4 linked regions of the Saccharomyces cerevisiae S288C genome follow. The protein of the gene in region 1 interacts with the protein of each later gene in a biochemical or structural test. Each region holds a gene or a part of one and is shown in the gene's direction. Other genes may lie near its edges. The genes, in order: MUS81, CDC5, RFC2 and MMS4.

The links.
Region 2: of the proteins of MUS81 (region 1) and CDC5, one has a biochemical effect on the other in vitro, tested with the Saccharomyces cerevisiae proteins (2 studies listed by BioGRID).
Region 3: the proteins of MUS81 (region 1) and RFC2 form a complex in vitro, tested with the Saccharomyces cerevisiae proteins (one study listed by BioGRID).
Region 4: the proteins of MUS81 (region 1) and MMS4 form a complex in vitro, tested with the Saccharomyces cerevisiae proteins (5 studies listed by BioGRID, with this or other methods).

Annotation. Positions count from the first base shown.
Region 1 is NC_001136.10:1,244,419-1,249,774, forward strand, and holds MUS81 (Mus81p), read left to right. Parts: upstream 1-1,665; coding exon 1,666-3,564; downstream 3,565-5,356. Other genes in the region: EFT2 (elongation factor 2), read left to right, coding at 1-1,340; CIN10 (Cin10p), read right to left, coding at 3,736-5,356.
Region 2 is NC_001145.3:268,304-274,027, reverse strand, and holds CDC5 (polo kinase CDC5), read left to right. Parts: upstream 1-2,891; coding exon 2,892-5,009; downstream 5,010-5,724. Other genes in the region: MVP1 (Mvp1p), read right to left, coding at 1-11; AIM34 (Aim34p), read right to left, coding at 314-910; MIX17 (Mix17p), read right to left, coding at 1,365-1,835; YMR001C-A (uncharacterized protein), read left to right, coding at 2,451-2,681. UniProt on the Saccharomyces cerevisiae protein: Protein kinase required for the cell cycle where it is involved in mitotic exit. A component of the fear (CDC14 early anaphase release) network which promotes CDC14 release from the nucleolus during early anaphase. Phosphorylates SCC1/MCD1 and NET1.
Region 3 is NC_001142.9:564,998-569,818, forward strand, and holds RFC2 (replication factor C subunit 2), read left to right. Parts: upstream 1-2,645; coding exon 2,646-3,707; downstream 3,708-4,821. Other genes in the region: phosphatidylinositol kinase-related protein kinase TOR1, read left to right, coding at 1-1,831; YAE1 (Yae1p), read right to left, coding at 2,022-2,447; nucleoside triphosphate pyrophosphohydrolase HAM1, read right to left, coding at 3,809-4,402; LIA1 (deoxyhypusine monooxygenase), read right to left, coding at 4,624-4,821. UniProt on the Saccharomyces cerevisiae protein: Component of ATP-dependent clamp loader (RFC and RFC-like) complexes for DNA clamps, such as the POL30/PCNA homotrimer and the checkpoint clamp DDC1:MEC3:RAD17 complex.
Region 4 is NC_001134.8:439,792-444,826, forward strand, and holds MMS4 (Mms4p), read left to right. Parts: upstream 1-1,723; coding exon 1,724-3,799; downstream 3,800-5,035. Other genes in the region: ubiquitin-binding serine/threonine protein kinase VPS15, read left to right, coding at 1-1,524; Hsp70 nucleotide exchange factor FES1, read right to left, coding at 4,030-4,902. UniProt on the Saccharomyces cerevisiae protein: Interacts with MUS81 to form a DNA structure-specific endonuclease with substrate preference for branched DNA structures with a 5'-end at the branch nick.

The DNA of each region.
Region 1 (5,356 bases):
TCGGTAGAGTTTTTGCCGGTACTGTTAAGTCCGGTCAAAAGGTCAGAATCCAAGGTCCAAACTACGTTCCAGGTAAGAAGGACGATTTGTTCATCAAGGCCATTCAAAGAGTTGTTTTGATGATGGGTAGATTTGTCGAACCAATCGATGACTGTCCAGCCGGTAACATTATCGGTTTAGTCGGTATCGATCAATTCTTGTTGAAGACTGGTACTTTGACCACCAGTGAAACTGCTCACAACATGAAGGTCATGAAATTCTCTGTCTCTCCAGTTGTGCAAGTCGCTGTCGAAGTCAAGAACGCTAACGACTTACCAAAATTGGTCGAAGGTTTGAAGAGATTGTCCAAGTCTGATCCATGTGTCTTGACCTATATGTCTGAATCCGGTGAACATATCGTTGCTGGTACCGGTGAATTGCATTTGGAAATTTGTTTGCAAGATTTGGAACACGACCACGCTGGTGTTCCATTGAAGATCTCCCCACCAGTTGTCGCTTACAGAGAAACTGTTGAAAGTGAATCTTCTCAAACTGCTTTGTCCAAGTCTCCAAACAAGCATAACAGAATCTACTTGAAGGCTGAACCAATTGACGAAGAAGTCTCTTTGGCTATTGAAAACGGTATCATCAACCCAAGAGATGATTTCAAGGCCAGAGCTAGAATCATGGCTGACGACTACGGTTGGGATGTCACCGATGCCAGAAAGATCTGGTGTTTCGGTCCAGACGGTAACGGTCCAAACTTGGTTATTGACCAAACTAAGGCTGTCCAATACTTGCACGAAATCAAGGATTCCGTTGTTGCTGCTTTCCAATGGGCTACCAAGGAAGGTCCAATTTTCGGTGAAGAAATGAGATCTGTCAGAGTTAACATTTTGGATGTTACTTTACATGCCGATGCTATCCACAGAGGTGGTGGTCAAATCATCCCAACCATGAGAAGAGCTACTTACGCTGGTTTCTTGTTGGCTGATCCAAAGATCCAAGAACCAGTTTTCTTGGTCGAAATTCAATGTCCAGAACAAGCCGTCGGTGGTATCTACTCCGTCTTAAACAAGAAGAGAGGTCAAGTCGTTTCTGAAGAACAAAGACCAGGTACTCCATTGTTTACCGTCAAGGCCTACTTGCCAGTTAACGAATCTTTCGGTTTCACTGGTGAATTGAGACAAGCTACTGGTGGTCAAGCTTTCCCACAAATGGTTTTCGACCATTGGTCCACTTTAGGTTCTGACCCATTGGACCCAACCTCTAAGGCTGGTGAAATTGTTCTTGCTGCTCGTAAGAGACACGGTATGAAGGAAGAAGTTCCAGGCTGGCAAGAATATTACGACAAATTGTAAGAATGGTTAAACAATTTTTAATTATTTAACTTTTTCAGTTTTTGTCGTAATGTATTGGGCACCTTTTATGTCCTTTTGACTTTTTTGTAGTTTATTCTCACGTATACTTACCATCTATAGTGTTATTTCATATTTAATCATATTTCCATATTAGATATCTGCCTTCCCCTGTATAATAGTTACTATGATTTATCTTGCTTTGCCTATTCGCGTCATCAACTTCTTTTCTTACCGATCGCGGTAATGCCCTTTAAGAGTGGCATCAACATTGGCGTAAACAAAGTTTCAAAGGATTGATACGAACACACATTCCTAGCATGAAAGCATGGAACTCTCATCAAACTTAAAAGACCTATATATTGAATGGTTACAAGAATTAGTTGACGGATTAACCCCTAAACAAGAACAACTCAAAATAGCCTATGAAAAAGCAAAAAGGAATTTACAAAATGCTGAAGGTTCATTTTATTATCCTACAGATCTAAAGAAAGTTAAGGGAATTGGCAATACAATAATAAAGAGATTAGATACGAAATTACGGAACTATTGCAAAATTCACCACATATCTCCCGTTGAGGCTCCTTCCTTAACTCAGACAAGTAGCACCAGACCACCAAAGAGGACTACTACAGCTTTGCGTAGCATAGTAAACTCATGCGAAAATGATAAGAATGAAGCTCCCGAAGAGAAGGGAACTAAAAAGAGAAAAACTAGGAAGTATATACCCAAAAAAAGATCTGGAGGCTACGCTATCCTTCTTTCCTTACTCGAGCTTAATGCCATTCCTCGAGGCGTTAGTAAAGAGCAAATCATCGAGGTTGCAGGAAAATACAGTGACCATTGTATGACTCCAAATTTCTCCACAAAAGAATTCTACGGTGCTTGGTCGTCTATTGCTGCACTTAAAAAACATTCGTTGGTTCTTGAGGAAGGTAGACCAAAACGGTATTCGCTAACAGAGGAAGGTGTAGAACTAACAAAGAGCTTAAAGACGGCAGACGGAATCTCTTTTCCAAAAGAAAATGAAGAACCTAACGAGTATTCCGTAACCAGGAATGAAAGTAGTGAATTCACAGCAAATCTGACTGACCTCCGTGGTGAATATGGTAAGGAAGAAGAGCCCTGCGATATAAATAACACTTCATTCATGCTGGATATAACTTTTCAAGATTTGAGCACGCCGCAAAGGCTGCAGAACAATGTATTTAAAAATGATAGACTGAATAGCCAAACTAATATATCTTCTCATAAATTGGAAGAGGTCTCTGATGATCAAACAGTACCTGATTCCGCATTAAAGGCTAAAAGCACAATAAAGAGGAGAAGGTACAACGGAGTAAGTTACGAATTGTGGTGTAGTGGTGATTTCGAAGTTTTCCCAATTATTGATCACAGAGAAATAAAGTCACAATCTGATCGTGAGTTTTTTTCAAGGGCATTTGAAAGAAAAGGTATGAAGTCAGAGATAAGGCAACTCGCTTTGGGTGATATTATATGGGTTGCCAAGAATAAAAATACCGGGTTGCAGTGTGTGCTCAACACCATAGTTGAAAGAAAAAGGCTAGACGATTTAGCTTTAAGTATAAGGGATAACAGGTTTATGGAGCAAAAAAATAGGTTAGAGAAATCTGGCTGTGAACACAAATACTATCTCATTGAGGAGACTATGAGTGGCAACATTGGAAATATGAATGAGGCCCTAAAGACCGCGCTTTGGGTCATTTTAGTGTATTACAAATTCTCCATGATAAGAACTTGCAATTCGGATGAAACTGTGGAAAAGATACATGCGTTGCATACTGTAATTTCTCATCACTATTCTCAAAAAGATCTCATAGTTATATTTCCAAGTGACCTTAAAAGCAAGGACGATTATAAAAAGGTGCTTCTACAGTTTCGTCGAGAATTCGAACGAAAAGGCGGTATTGAATGCTGTCATAATCTTGAATGCTTTCAAGAACTAATGGGAAAAGGCGATCTAAAGACGGTTGGTGAGCTAACTATACATGTTTTAATGCTTGTTAAAGGTATATCTTTAGAAAAAGCAGTAGCCATCCAAGAAATATTTCCTACCCTGAATAAAATACTAATGGCATATAAAACGTGCTCCTCGGAAGAAGAGGCTAAATTGTTGATGTTTAATGTACTGGGAGATGCACCTGGTGCGAAGAAAATTACTAAATCTCTTTCAGAAAAGATATATGATGCTTTTGGTAAACTTTAGCAATTTGAAATATAGTCATCCCTGCAAGGTTTTATAAAGAAAAAAGTGATGATATTCTTTTAACTAATATATACATATATAAGAAAAGAAGCCTTAATTTCTCACGGACAAATATACCAGAAGCATATCTGAAAGCCGCCCCAATGCATTATGATGCCACTTGACAACTCATCAATGGTAGGTACGAAAGACATAATGAACATCAATTCCATTATCAAAAACCCTTCCAACCTCTTCCAGTGACAAACCTTTGACTTCTGGATACCAAAAATATACGAAAAACCAGGCACAAACTGTGAAAAAAGCAAAAATGAGCATTGTATTTTCATCACCAATGGTGTTAATAGTGCTCAGATATGTCATTGAAACAAATGCATTGGTCAACCAATTTGTGCAGGCTATACATGATGCCCCAAATGATCTCCTGTTCAAGGGGAGAAATTCCACACAGGTCCATGGAACGCTGCCCATCGCAGAAGCATATGCTGCAACATAAATTACAACAGAAATTAAAAGTAAATTGACTTGGTCATGACCGAAACCTACACTGCAAAGAAGTAACCCAACAGTCATAATCAAAATTGTTCTCAAAAGAATGGCTCTTCTTCCCAAAGAGTCCATGGTGTACATGGCGAAAAAAGTGAATATGAAGTTCGTTGAGGCAATCAAAATTGGAGGCAGTAGAGGGTTTTTTATATTAAATTTGGAAAATATTATTGCCGCATAGTACATAAAAGCATTAAAGCCAGTGATTTGCTGGAAAAACATTAACATGCAACCTACTATTAACGCTCTTATTGTGCGTGGCTCCATTCTGTGTCTTTTCTTTTTGTTAGATGCCAGGGCACCGTTTGGAGCTGGGCCTCGCAACGCCGATAGATATGCTGATGAGGAGGACATTGTGTTGCTAGTTCTTTCTGTGTTCGAGGAAAGTCTTTTAATGTTAGGTGGGCTAAGAGTTCCTGAGGTTGAACTATCCATGTATCGAATAACCGATTGGGACTGTACTAGTAAAGGTTCACTTGCATCTTCGTATAGTCGTAACTTATCGAGTTCAATTATCAGCTGCTTAATTTTACTATTCACATGATATGTAGATGCAGTAGGATATAGCATTCTTAGAGAATCCCTGGTATATAGAATGTCTCCCTTGGAAATGGACCATCGTGGCGATTCAGGGATAAAATCCAGTATTGAAAGGAACAGAATAGCTGGAATAGCAGAAAGTGCGAACAAATATCTCCATGAATTATCAATCTCTTTCATAAGGGACGCAATCACATAGGAAACCAATTGACCTCCAGTGATGGCAATAATGTTCAATGTCAACATAAAACCCCTGATTCTGGAAGGTGAAATTTCACTCAGAAATAGAGGGACGCACTGGGCAGACACTCCAACAGCGATCCCAACCAGCAATCTCCCACAAATCAAAAACGTCAATGTTCTTGCTATAGCCATTCCAATTGCAGCTAGGATAAAAATTGAACAGCAGATTGCGAGAGTAATTCTTCTTCCATACCTATCTGCTAAAGGAAATGCCAGAATAGAGCCAAAAAATGATCCGACGCTTGTACTGGAAGTTATCAGCTCCTTCTGAACATCCGTTAAAACTACCAAAGATAGATCTTCGGGCTTTAAAGAAAGCAGAACACCTGATATAACACCAGTATCATAGCCGAATAAAAGCCCACCAATGGTAGCACCAACGAAGATTAACGACGTTTTGAACGTTAAAGCATATGGGAGTTGCTCGATGTCATTGGCAGTATTGGATGTTACCTGGGAGATA
Region 2 (5,724 bases), on another chromosome or scaffold:
TAATTGTCCATTACTTTTTTTTTCGCCTCAGTGGTGTTTTATAGAATCCAAATTCGATTGCTTTTACTATTATTTCTCTTACAACTTGGGTGAAAAGAAGTGGCGTTCACCCTGTTTTCATTGTACCTTCCTTCCTCACTTTTTTTTCTGGCATGTGTTTCGTAAAAGCGCCTACCTTAACCGAAAATGACGGCAATATCGAGATGATCTGGATCAACAATAACTTATTGAGAGCGTAGAGAAAAGTAAAAGTGTCTTAATAAATTATGAAAGAATATACAGTTCAATTAATTACAGTGCTAGAATTATATTTCTAATGGTCAATGGTAGGTTTAGATTCCTGAGGTTCGAGGTTCCACCAAAGACACGATAACATGAAAAATCCTAATAAGAATATTCTATCCCTTGGTTGCAAGTGTGAATGAACGTCGCAGGGAGTTTCGATAACAGGTGTGTTCTGCAGTGAAGAAATATTTTTTTCAATAGTTCTAAAAGTTTTATCACTAACCAATTTCTTCGTGATTTTGATTGGATCATTTATTAATATCCTCTTTTTTTTGGGTTCATTTATCTTCACACTACTTTTTTTATTTGAACATGAATCGTGCGTGATAAGTCTTTGTAGCAAATCTGATTTGCGACCTGATAATTTTAACCCTCTTGATTTGCACTGCTCTTTGAGAACTTTAACTGTAAATTTTTGAAAAGGTGTTATATCGTTATTATTCATTAAAAAGCTCAAGTGGCTCTTCGTTTGGGTGCTATGTACATATCTGTGTAGGCTCACCTTGTAAGCACCGGGCTGTTTCAATAGTAAGGTAAACGGTAAATATAGAGATCTCCCTGGCTCAGCCGCCCGTATGCCGGAGAATTGTTGTGAAACAATTCTACCTAATAGAGAAATTGACATGTCTTCTTTCAGAAGCTTTACTTTGCCGGTTCAGCTGCACTAGGTGTCTTTTTGAGAAACATGCGTATCACAGGCCCTTCTGAAGAAGAGCATAAAATATAGTAAATAAACAAACTCTTCGAAGGTACTACGTTACCCTCCCCTGTTGAGAACTTCATAGGAAATGTCAGCCACACCGCGCGGTGGGGGTGCAGATGATTAAATGATTATGAAGTCAATAAATTGGATGATTTGATTTATAAAAGTTATTTACATACAAAATAAAACAAATAAATATCCATATATATAAGACATTTAGTCCTTATTCCTTTCATTTTTTCTTGTTCTCACGTGGAGTATGCGATTCTGTGAAAAACCATCAAAAAAAAATAAGTCAAATGACATGGTTAAAACAAGAACATTACCGAAATGTATGATTTTAGTGAATATTTTCTAAATTTTTGAGCTTTTAAACTTAGTATTGACGTGCAGCTTCCTGGCAGGCTTTTAGTTGCTGCAAGTAATAATCACATATCTGGAAGTTGCCGTTGTTTTCATCCAAACAACGTGTAAAGTTTCTCGCGTCTATTTCACAAGTTCTTCCCAACTGCTGGTCCGTTTGGGTTTGGCCGGAGGTGTTGGCCATATTTTGCTGTTGTTGCTCAACAGGAGCGGAATCAGACCCGGATCCGGAAAACATACCGGTAATACCTGCACCTAGGGTGTGTCCAATGGTGCTACCAACGGCAACACCTGCAGCAGTGGAGGCCATCTGCGCAAACATACCTGGCTGTCTCGTTTGGGCACCTGCAGCAGGAGGGTGTGAATAGGCATTTGGTTGTTGTTGTTGTTGTGGATGAACTGGAGCCGCCATGGTAGAAGCGGACCTTGTCTGAGTAGGTCTCGATCTCGATATAGGTCTTGATGATCCTCTTGAACGTGCCATATTTTAGAATTTTGTTGCTGTTGTTGCTTTTCTTGTTCTGTTCTTTGTTCGAAATATTAATCCTTTTTCTTAAAGGTTATAAACTGTACGAGTGATAGGCTTATATAGGTCGCGGAGATTGCGGTGGAGTGAAAAAGCGCTTTTCTTTTATACCTTTGTTCAAGGTGGCGTTTGCCGTATAAAAGCACACATGACATAACCGAACCTCGGAAAATGAAGTTGCACTGTTATTGCCTTCCAGATGTGTAGAATCATCACCATCTTCTGTGATAAATGAAGAGGGAATCGTACGAGGACGCCAGCATATTTTTACATCAAAATTTATGTTATTGTTGAAGGAACATTGAAAAGATAGGGCGGGCAAAATCTGCGATCAAGCCTATCCTCTTTCATCTCAGCTGTTCTAGATGCGTTACCCGGTGGTAACTTCACTGCATATTATTACTTTATATACCTTATTCTATATGTTGCCCGGGTAGGGCATTATGTAGCATCACCCGGAAGAACTTTTGGACTTTTCTCTGTCAAAAGATATTACCTAAAAGGGTCAAAACAAAACAAACCCAATAAAGAAAATCCAAAATATAGAACGAATAAATATCTCGAGGACCTGGGATGATCTTTGAATGTACATCCTTTGAAACAAGGCATATCTTGAACAGTTACTCTTGTGCTACTCAACTTTCGTACAATACATATAGAATCACTGAGAAAGTAAATCCAATTCAAGCGGCAGTTTCAAAGAACAATAAGCCTTTTGTGTCAAATTCTGATTCTGCTTTTTTTCCTATTTTTTCATCCTTCAATTTTGTGGCATATACTACATTAACTTTCAAGAAAACTTAAAAAAGAAAAGACAAAAAAGCTAAACTGCATAGTCAAGTTTGTATAATTGAGCTGAGTATTATTTTTTGTACACAAAAACATTGGCTTTCTTATATCTTCTCTATATATACTCTCTTTCATTCATCGATAAACGTTACATTTGTTATTCATAGAGAATAAAAATCACAGCCGTGGAGAAGAAAGAACAGAGTAAGATCAAGTCGAATAAAGATGTCGTTGGGTCCTCTTAAAGCTATCAATGATAAGCAATTGAATACCCGTTCCAAGTTAGTTCACACCCCAATAAAGGGAAATACCGCAGACCTCGTAGGAAAAGAAAATCACTTTAAACAAACAAAGAGACTAGATCCGAATAATGATCATCACCACCAGCCAGCTCAAAAAAAGAAAAGGGAAAAGTTATCAGCTTTGTGTAAAACACCACCTTCATTAATCAAAACAAGAGGAAAAGACTATCACCGAGGTCATTTTTTAGGTGAAGGTGGATTTGCTCGCTGTTTCCAAATTAAGGACGATTCAGGCGAAATTTTTGCTGCCAAAACAGTTGCTAAAGCCTCAATTAAATCAGAGAAGACAAGAAAAAAGTTGTTGTCGGAGATTCAAATTCATAAAAGTATGTCCCATCCAAATATCGTTCAGTTTATTGATTGTTTTGAGGATGATAGCAATGTCTATATCTTATTGGAGATATGCCCCAACGGTTCATTAATGGAATTACTAAAAAGAAGAAAAGTTTTAACAGAACCAGAAGTTAGATTTTTCACCACTCAAATATGTGGTGCAATTAAGTATATGCATTCAAGAAGAGTTATACATAGAGATTTAAAACTTGGTAACATCTTCTTCGATTCAAACTATAACTTAAAGATTGGTGACTTCGGTCTGGCAGCTGTGTTGGCGAATGAAAGTGAACGTAAATACACCATATGCGGAACACCTAATTACATCGCACCTGAAGTGTTGATGGGTAAGCATTCTGGACATTCATTTGAAGTAGATATTTGGTCATTAGGTGTTATGCTTTATGCTTTGTTGATTGGTAAGCCACCCTTCCAAGCAAGAGATGTAAACACTATTTATGAAAGAATCAAATGTCGTGATTTTTCGTTTCCAAGAGATAAACCAATCTCAGATGAAGGTAAGATTTTAATAAGAGACATTCTATCCTTAGATCCAATAGAAAGGCCCTCTTTGACTGAAATTATGGATTATGTATGGTTTAGGGGAACTTTCCCACCATCTATTCCTTCGACGGTCATGTCAGAAGCACCAAATTTTGAGGATATTCCTGAAGAGCAGTCACTGGTTAACTTCAAAGATTGCATGGAAAAATCTCTACTATTAGAAAGCATGAGCAGCGATAAAATTCAGCGTCAAAAGAGGGATTATATTTCTTCAATTAAATCTAGTATCGATAAACTAGAAGAGTACCACCAAAACAGACCATTTTTACCACATTCTTTATCCCCTGGCGGGACGAAACAGAAATATAAGGAGGTTGTTGATATAGAGGCACAAAGAAGATTAAACGATTTGGCTCGTGAAGCAAGGATACGTAGAGCACAACAGGCCGTTTTGAGAAAAGAATTAATAGCTACATCGACCAATGTCATTAAATCAGAAATCTCCTTGAGAATATTAGCCAGTGAGTGTCATCTTACTTTGAATGGCATTGTAGAAGCAGAAGCTCAGTATAAAATGGGAGGTCTTCCGAAATCAAGATTGCCTAAAATTAAACACCCAATGATAGTTACCAAGTGGGTCGACTACTCCAACAAACACGGATTCTCCTATCAGTTATCAACAGAGGATATTGGTGTCTTATTTAATAATGGCACCACAGTTCTCCGATTGGCAGATGCAGAAGAGTTTTGGTATATTAGTTATGACGATCGGGAAGGTTGGGTAGCAAGTCATTATTTATTGAGCGAAAAACCACGAGAGCTAAGTAGACATTTAGAAGTAGTTGATTTTTTTGCCAAGTACATGAAGGCAAATTTGAGCCGAGTATCTACGTTTGGCAGAGAAGAATATCATAAAGATGATGTATTTTTGAGAAGATACACAAGGTATAAACCATTTGTTATGTTTGAACTAAGTGATGGTACTTTCCAGTTCAATTTCAAAGATCATCATAAAATGGCAATATCCGACGGAGGTAAATTGGTGACCTACATTTCTCCCTCCCATGAAAGCACCACATATCCCTTAGTTGAAGTACTAAAATATGGCGAGATCCCAGGATATCCAGAAAGTAACTTTAGAGAGAAACTAACTTTGATAAAGGAAGGTTTGAAGCAGAAGTCCACAATTGTTACCGTAGATTAAACCAATATTAAAGTAGAAAGAAATACGAATACGAAATTACCAGTCCATTGATTGGGCCCCATTAATAACTAATACTAAATAAAATAAATGGTCTTGCCCTTAACGAAGATAATATATAATATTTACCCCTAGCATTAATACCCTTTTTCTAAAGGTACGAAATGAACAAACATCTTTCATGTTAGTTCTTCCTTTTCAATAGTTCTCATATAGCGTTTTTTTTCGCCTGAGCGGTTCTAGAGCTATATCTATTCAAAATTGCCATGCTTTTGTATTCATATTGTATGTATGGGATGATAACCTGTCGCTTCCTGAGATTTTCTCAAAAATATTGTTTTGAACCTAGATTTCTTTTTAATTATTCTTACAGGTGCCCATTGGAAGAGTGACAACATTAATTTTGAAAGCTATTCACTTGGTACATCCGCGGTTTACCAATTTTTAAGTTTTATCAAAAGCTGGCTTACTTGACATGTATCTACAAACTTAAGAATACTATTATGGGCAGTTATTTGCTAATTCTTTGTTACCTAGTTAAAATCCAAAAAATCCTGATTTATATTCATTTTATTACTGTATTCCTTTTTTCAAGGCGGGAGAAACTTATACCGCCATAGTAAAATAAATAGTGACTAAGGTAGCCAGAACTTCTCATCAACAAATTGCGAAATTAATTTCTCTTAGAAAAGCCATTCATTGGAAAAATGAAATACCG
Region 3 (4,821 bases), on another chromosome or scaffold:
TGAAGGCTTCAATTTGATGAAAATAGAGAACTGGCTTGAAGTCTTACCACAGTTGATCTCTCGTATACATCAGCCAGATCCTACGGTGAGTAATTCCCTTTTGTCGTTGCTTTCTGATTTAGGGAAAGCTCATCCACAAGCTCTCGTGTATCCTTTAACTGTCGCGATCAAGTCTGAATCTGTTTCAAGACAAAAAGCGGCTCTTTCAATAATAGAGAAAATTAGGATTCATAGTCCAGTCCTGGTAAACCAGGCAGAATTAGTTAGTCACGAGTTGATCAGAGTAGCCGTTCTATGGCACGAATTATGGTATGAAGGACTGGAAGATGCGAGCCGCCAATTTTTCGTTGAACATAACATAGAAAAAATGTTTTCTACTTTAGAACCTTTACATAAACACTTAGGCAATGAGCCTCAAACGTTAAGTGAGGTATCGTTTCAGAAATCATTTGGTAGAGATTTGAACGATGCCTACGAATGGTTGAATAACTACAAAAAGTCAAAAGACATCAATAATTTGAACCAAGCTTGGGATATTTATTATAACGTCTTCAGAAAAATAACACGTCAAATACCACAGTTACAAACCTTAGACTTACAGCATGTTTCTCCCCAGCTTCTGGCTACTCATGATCTCGAATTGGCTGTTCCTGGGACATATTTCCCAGGAAAACCTACCATTAGAATAGCGAAGTTTGAGCCATTATTTTCTGTGATCTCTTCGAAGCAAAGGCCAAGAAAATTCTCCATCAAGGGTAGCGACGGTAAAGATTATAAATACGTTTTAAAGGGACATGAAGATATAAGACAAGATAGCCTTGTTATGCAATTATTTGGTCTAGTTAACACTTTGTTGAAGAATGATTCAGAGTGTTTCAAGAGACATTTGGATATCCAACAATACCCGGCTATTCCATTGTCGCCTAAATCTGGTTTACTAGGATGGGTACCAAATAGTGACACATTCCACGTTTTGATCAGAGAACACCGTGATGCCAAAAAAATTCCGTTGAACATTGAACATTGGGTTATGTTACAAATGGCCCCCGATTATGAGAATTTGACTCTTTTACAAAAAATTGAAGTATTCACGTACGCTTTAGATAATACAAAAGGCCAAGACCTTTATAAAATATTATGGTTAAAGAGTAGGTCGTCAGAGACATGGCTAGAACGTAGAACAACTTATACGAGATCTTTAGCAGTTATGTCCATGACTGGTTATATTCTGGGACTAGGTGATCGCCATCCAAGCAACCTGATGCTAGATAGAATCACCGGTAAAGTTATCCACATTGATTTCGGCGATTGTTTTGAAGCTGCCATCTTAAGAGAAAAGTATCCAGAAAAAGTGCCATTTAGACTAACTAGGATGTTAACATACGCAATGGAAGTTAGTGGAATTGAAGGCAGTTTCCGAATTACTTGTGAAAATGTCATGAGAGTCTTAAGAGATAATAAAGAATCATTAATGGCGATCTTGGAAGCTTTTGCGCTTGATCCTTTGATCCATTGGGGATTTGATTTACCGCCACAAAAACTTACTGAGCAAACTGGAATTCCTTTGCCGTTGATTAATCCTAGTGAATTATTAAGGAAGGGGGCAATTACTGTCGAAGAAGCGGCAAATATGGAAGCAGAACAACAAAATGAGACCAAAAACGCCAGAGCAATGCTTGTTTTGAGACGTATTACAGATAAATTAACGGGCAATGATATCAAGAGGTTCAATGAATTAGACGTCCCTGAGCAGGTTGATAAACTGATCCAACAAGCCACTTCTATTGAAAGGTTATGTCAACATTATATTGGATGGTGCCCATTCTGGTGACTGCGGTGTCATTTTTCATTTCGTGCTTTGTTTACTATTTATTTTTTTTGTATTACGCATTTGTATACGTGTGCAAGTATTGTGTATTATTATTATTATTATCATTATTTTTGTAATATCTCGTCATTATGTGAAATGAAGGATGATATAAGGTACATAAATTGTGAAATCAACTCCATTTAAAACAACTTTATTGGATAGATGGCACATGGTACTTTTCACAATAGGTATTGGCAATATCAGTCCATTTTGTTATGAGCGGATGTTTTTCTTGCAAGTCAAAGTTTGGATCAAATATGGACTTACTAAGTACTTTGTTAATGCGTAATTCTTTTTGAGCATCAATATATGCCTTACTGAGGTCCTCATCTTCATCACCAAAACGTGTTCGTAGGCCAAGTAAAATCCCCATAATTATGCCAACTTGTTTCCCTAATTTAGCGCCCGTTGGGAAACCATCATTGAAACCCTCTTGCAGCTTTTCTTCTTTAGAACTCACTATTCCGTCCAAGTACCCCCTCTTGCTATGATTCTCTCTTAACTTCACTAAATCTGGAGATCGTTCAGTTTCGACATCACTGTCTGATGCCCATACATCGTCCCAAGTATTCGACATCTCTATATACTATTGTAACACTGTTCCTTTTTTGTTCTCTTCTATCAAAAACCTTTCTCATCGTTATTTTTCACTCTTTTACTTCGCGTATTTCAAAGCAATCAGGAAGTAACTCAAGCGAACAAGTCAATGCTATAAGAGAAGTAAAATAGAGAGACAGCGAGAAATACTGGGGGAAAGTATTGGCAATCACTTGAGATGTTTGAAGGGTTTGGTCCAAATAAAAAGCGTAAGATATCAAAGTTAGCCGCAGAGCAATCATTGGCACAACAACCCTGGGTTGAGAAATACAGGCCCAAAAACCTAGATGAAGTGACAGCTCAAGATCATGCCGTTACTGTTTTGAAGAAAACCTTAAAGTCAGCTAATCTACCACATATGTTGTTTTATGGTCCCCCAGGAACTGGTAAAACGTCTACCATTTTAGCGCTAACAAAAGAATTATATGGACCCGACTTGATGAAATCAAGAATATTGGAGTTGAACGCTTCTGACGAACGTGGTATCTCTATTGTAAGAGAAAAGGTAAAAAATTTTGCAAGATTGACTGTATCCAAGCCTAGCAAACATGACTTGGAGAACTATCCGTGCCCACCGTATAAGATCATTATTCTCGATGAGGCCGATTCAATGACTGCCGATGCACAGAGTGCATTACGTAGAACAATGGAAACCTATTCAGGAGTAACAAGATTCTGTTTGATTTGTAATTATGTGACAAGAATTATTGACCCGCTAGCGTCCCGTTGTTCCAAATTTAGATTCAAAGCCCTAGACGCAAGTAATGCCATTGACCGTTTGAGGTTTATCAGCGAACAAGAAAATGTTAAATGTGATGATGGAGTTTTGGAAAGGATCTTGGACATTTCGGCAGGTGACTTGAGAAGAGGCATTACATTATTACAATCCGCTTCCAAGGGGGCGCAATACTTGGGTGATGGTAAAAACATAACTTCTACCCAAGTGGAAGAATTAGCTGGTGTGGTACCTCATGACATTCTAATAGAAATTGTTGAAAAAGTCAAAAGTGGTGATTTTGATGAGATTAAGAAATACGTCAATACGTTTATGAAAAGCGGTTGGTCTGCTGCGTCAGTAGTTAACCAACTACATGAATATTACATCACCAACGATAACTTTGATACGAACTTCAAAAATCAAATATCTTGGTTGCTGTTTACTACGGATTCCAGATTAAACAACGGAACGAACGAGCACATCCAATTATTAAACTTATTGGTTAAAATATCCCAACTCTAATATACAGGCATCTTTATATAATTGAATATAGAGGCGACATAAAGTAAGAATAAAAAAAAAAAAATCTATCCATAATTCCTCTTATCTTCTCAGCACATCACCTAAAAGTCATTTTGATACAAGTACTCTTTAAACTGAGCGAAGGCTTTACCACGATGAGAAATAGCATTCTTTGCGTCTTTGCTCATCTCTGCGTAAGTCAGTCCATGACTATCAAAAGGTTCAAAAATTGAATCCCAGCCGAATGTAGTGGGTCCCCGGCTTGGAACGATCTTGCCTCTTGTAATACCTTGAAAGAAGTGATATTCACCCCGAGAATCAGCAAAACAAATGGTGGTAACTGCTTCAGCGTTTTTATTTTCAAAGGGTTCCAACATTTTCACAATTTTTTCCAATCCCATGCTCTTTAAAAACCATTTTATATAAGCACCTGGTAGACCGTTAAATTCGTCAAATCTCAACGCAGTGTCTTCCACAAACACTGGCTTACCCTTACCCAAGGCCGCAACAGCTTGCTTTCCCTTAGCTAACGCAATGGCATTCAGATCCGTGTCCTGCAATTCTTCCAGGTCTAAGGCCTCATTGATTAAGTGGATGGTTTTGTTGTTGTTGTCGACCTCTTGAGTCAAAATCGACTGCACTTCCTTTAACTTGTTGGCATTGCCAGTGACAAATACAATTTCGTTGTTGCTCATTCTGCTATCGTTCGTTTTTAGATATCTCTATGTGAGTGTTTCCTATGCTTTGAAGACCAGTGTTGAAAGCTGAAGCTCGAGAGAACGGTTTCGAAAATAAATAATTTTTTTGCTATTTGATACATTTGTATATATAACGGAAATGGCGGGTTTTGAAAAGTATAAAATACAAGATTATACAATGATTATTGTTACTATCATTATTGATGATGCTGATTCTTCTAATTAGCAGTTGGAGCATATTCTAGTTCGTTGCTGTTTTCGTAATCATACATATCTAGCGCAACGATACAAGATTCTCTGACGACATCGACTTCATCGTTGAGGTAAGATTTCAAGACGTCGACAACTTCTGGAGAAGCAATGGCACCCAAGGCTTCAGCAGCTTCATGCCTAACCATTGGAGCTTCTTCCTTTCT
Region 4 (5,035 bases), on another chromosome or scaffold:
AGTGAGAAAGATAGCAATAAGCTAAATATTAACGGTAGCAAACAGCTATCTACCGTCATGGACATAAATGGATCACTAATATTCAAAAATAAGTCCATTGCCACTACTACTTCTAATTTGAAGAACGTTTTTGTTCAGTTAGAACCAACGTCCTATCACATGCATTCTCCAAATCATGGCTTGAAAGATAATGCAAATGTTAAACCAGAAAGGAAGGTAGTCGTCAGCAACAGCTATGAAGGCGACGTTGAAAGCATAGAAAAATTCCTATCGACTTTCAAAATTTTACCTCCTCTGAGAGATTATAAGGAGTTTGGGCCTATTCAAGAGATTGTACGGAGTCCAAACATGGGTAATTTGAGGGGCAAGTTGATAGCTACTTTGATGGAAAACGAACCCAATTCTATTACGTCTTCTGCTGTTTCTCCAGGAGAAACACCCTATTTAATAACAGGTTCAGATCAAGGTGTAATCAAGATTTGGAACCTGAAAGAGATTATCGTGGGCGAGGTTTACTCTTCTTCTTTAACTTATGACTGCTCCTCTACCGTAACTCAGATAACCATGATTCCTAACTTTGACGCGTTTGCCGTTTCCAGTAAAGATGGACAAATAATTGTATTAAAGGTTAATCATTACCAACAAGAAAGTGAAGTCAAATTTTTGAATTGCGAATGCATCAGGAAAATTAACTTGAAGAATTTTGGTAAAAATGAATACGCAGTGAGAATGAGAGCATTTGTGAATGAGGAAAAATCTCTACTAGTAGCATTGACGAATTTGTCAAGGGTTATTATATTTGATATTAGAACCCTGGAGAGGTTACAAATTATAGAGAATTCTCCAAGGCATGGTGCCGTTTCAAGCATCTGTATCGATGAAGAGTGTTGTGTCCTAATTTTGGGGACGACTAGAGGTATTATTGATATATGGGATATCCGTTTCAACGTGCTGATAAGGAGTTGGTCCTTTGGGGACCACGCACCAATCACGCATGTGGAGGTTTGTCAGTTTTATGGAAAGAATTCTGTAATTGTTGTAGGAGGTAGTTCAAAAACATTTCTAACAATATGGAATTTTGTTAAGGGGCATTGTCAGTATGCTTTCATAAATTCTGATGAACAGCCATCTATGGAGCACTTTTTACCAATTGAGAAAGGCTTAGAAGAATTAAATTTTTGTGGAATCAGGTCTTTAAACGCACTAAGCACTATCTCAGTATCTAATGATAAAATTCTTCTTACCGATGAAGCAACAAGTTCCATTGTTATGTTTAGCCTAAATGAGCTTTCTTCTTCTAAAGCAGTAATAAGTCCTTCAAGATTCAGTGACGTTTTTATTCCTACACAAGTTACGGCAAATCTCACAATGTTATTGAGAAAAATGAAACGTACTAGCACTCATTCAGTAGATGATTCTCTATATCATCATGATATTATAAATTCTATATCTACATGTGAAGTTGATGAGACACCTTTGCTGGTTGCTTGTGATAACTCAGGGCTTATTGGAATCTTCCAATAATTTTTTTTATTTTATTCAGCTTCTTTATTCTAAATGCGTATAAATTTGTATTCACCTTAAACATTTTCGATCATTTAGGAAAGGGCTTGCAACGCGTTGAAGTACCCTTTTCACGAAAAAAATGGTTGTATACGTAAATAAAGAACAATGTATGGATTATGGTATAGAATAATAGTAGTCACATATTGCAGCTAGTTAAATGAGCCAGATCGTTGATTTTGTTGAGGACAAAGATTCAAGAAACGATGCCAGTATTCAGATCATCGATGGACCCTCAAATGTTGAAATTATCGCTCTCTCGGAATCAATGGATCAAGATGAGTGCAAAAGGGCACATGTAAGCTCTGCAGAGATGATTCCATCATCACCGCAAAGAAAATCTGTTTCGAATGATGTTGAGAATGTTGACCTAAACAAATCTATCGAACTTTCTGCGCCGTTCTTCCAAGATATCAGTATAAGCAAGCTAGATGACTTTTCTACAACAGTAAATTCCATCATAGATTCGTCTCTCAGAAATGAGAATAATGCAAAAGGAAACGCGAAAAAACTTTTGGATGATCTAATAAGTGATGAATGGTCAGCTGATCTTGAGTCGAGTGGAAAGAAGCACAACAAATCACAATACAATTTGAGGGACATCGCAGAGAAATGGGGAGTACAGTCTTTAAAAAATCCAGAGCCTATTGCTGTTGACTGCGAATATAAGACACAAGGAATCGGAAAAACCAATAGTGACATTAGTGATAGTCCGAAATCACAGATAGGAGCAGCTGATATACTGTTCGATTTTCCACTGTCTCCAGTAAAACATGAGAACCCAACTGAAGAAAAGCACAATTCGATTGCTAATGAAAATTCTTCACCAGATAATAGCCTGAAACCAGCAGGAAAACAAAATCATGGTGAAGATGGGACATCCATGGCAAAAAGGGTATACAATAAAGGTGAAGACGAGCAAGAACACCTTCCGAAAGGAAAGAAGAGAACCATAGCGTTATCAAGAACACTAATCAACAGCACCAAACTACCTGATACAGTAGAACTAAATCTTTCTAAATTTCTCGATTCCTCAGATAGTATTACTACTGATGTACTTTCAACCCCTGCAAAGGGGTCTAACATAGTAAGGACAGGTAGTCAACCAATCTTTAGCAACGCTAATTGTTTTCAGGAAGCAAAACGCTCGAAAACATTAACGGCTGAGGATCCCAAATGTACTAAAAATACTGCCAGAGAGGTATCACAACTAGAGAATTATATTGCCTATGGGCAATACTATACTAGAGAAGACTCAAAAAACAAAATACGACACTTGTTAAAAGAAAACAAAAATGCTTTTAAGCGAGTTAACCAGATATATCGAGATAATATAAAAGCACGCTCTCAAATGATTATAGAGTTTTCGCCTAGCCTTCTCCAGTTATTTAAAAAAGGAGACAGTGATCTGCAACAACAATTGGCACCAGCAGTTGTGCAATCAAGCTATAACGATTCTATGCCGCTTTTAAGATTTCTTCGAAAATGTGACAGTATTTACGACTTTAGTAACGATTTCTATTACCCCTGTGATCCCAAAATAGTTGAAGAAAACGTTTTGATTCTATATTATGATGCGCAAGAATTTTTTGAACAATACACTTCACAAAAGAAAGAATTATATAGGAAGATACGATTTTTCTCAAAGAATGGAAAACATGTGATTCTTATACTAAGCGATATAAATAAACTCAAAAGAGCTATTTTCCAATTAGAAAATGAAAAGTACAAAGCTAGGGTAGAACAACGATTGTCAGGAACAGAAGAAGCTTTAAGACCGAGAAGTAAAAAATCAAGCCAAGTTGGAAAATTAGGGATAAAAAAATTTGATTTAGAGCAACGATTGCGCTTCATTGATAGAGAATGGCATGTCAAAATACATACTGTAAATTCACATATGGAGTTTATTAATTCTCTGCCGAACCTAGTGTCATTAATTGGAAAACAGCGCATGGATCCCGCAATTCGGTATATGAAATATGCTCATTTGAATGTAAAATCCGCTCAGGATAGTACAGAAACGCTAAAGAAAACCTTTCATCAGATAGGGAGAATGCCTGAAATGAAGGCGAATAATGTCGTGAGCCTATACCCCAGTTTTCAATCATTACTTGAAGATATTGAAAAGGGAAGACTGCAATCAGACAACGAAGGTAAATACTTGATGACTGAGGCAGTAGAAAAAAGATTGTACAAACTGTTTACTTGTACTGATCCAAATGATACTATTGAATGATGATCGAACGAAACTTTGTATATAAGAACATACCTTAAGGCAGTCGTTTTGAAAATCACTGCAGCTCTATTTCCCCCTCCTTACCTTTTTAATGAATTCCATTTTACAGAAAGTACTATTGATAAATATTCGTAATAAAATAAAACAGTGTTAATAATAAATGTTCGAGATTCCGGTTAAAGATAATATGAAATGGTGAATGTAATATCATTTTATTTCTACGGACGTAATCATAATACATACTTTACGGCTAAATAATCGTCTTCATTAAGTCTGTCCTTTAGAGGCTCGATATGTTTGTAACCTTCGTTCAATTTGTGCAATTCCTGTTCATTAAATTTTATTCCGGAAGATATCAGGTGAGAGAGAAAAGACAGAACTCTATCTATGATGTTCAAGTTACTCTCGTCAGACAAGCACTCAATCGTACTTTCAATTACTCCATCCTTTCTCAGCACACTGATTATATTTTCATCAATCTTAACAGATGACAAATATGCGGTCAATAAGGCAATGGCTCTCATTTTCAGTTTTGGTTTGGCGGTGTTATCACTTAATACAGGTGCTATGCAGTCGAGCCCATTTAATTTGAAAAACTTTTCTGAGATATCTTTGTGGTTTCTTATTAGATTAGATAGTGCGTAAAAAGCTTTTGTTCTCACGTCGAGTGGCTTTGTCTTGTCACTAGCTATTTCGATAAGGCTTCGCAGACCATTGTCGTATTTCATGAAATTATTTTGCGAATCCAAGTTGTTTTGCACAGCCGTTCCAATAATGGATAAAGCAGCAGCACGTAGTTCTTCATCCTTCGTCTGAACAAGAACATCCAACAATGGCTCCCACAGTTTTAAATTTTCGATATTATTAGCATTATCTAAGTTCTCAATCAACATTTCAAAGTTGTCAAATGCAACGAGTTTTGTTTCTAAGTCAACCTCCGGATTCATAATAACAGCCATGGATTCTTTCATTAAGGTTGGATCGTCAGGACCACCACCACCGAATAACTGCTGTAGCAATTTAGGATCAGGTTGGCCGGCCCTAGCCATAGCTTCTTTGTCCCCTTGAGAATTCGCAATAGACCACTGTAATAGCTTTTCCATAGTTATGTATGTGTTTTTTTTTCTATTTTACTCTTTCGTTGAAAGGTAATGGCTTTCTGACTGACGATGAGTGCTCTTTTAGATATAGCCAATCGCTGGTTTATAAGCAAATTTCTGTCAGCGCGAGATGCCT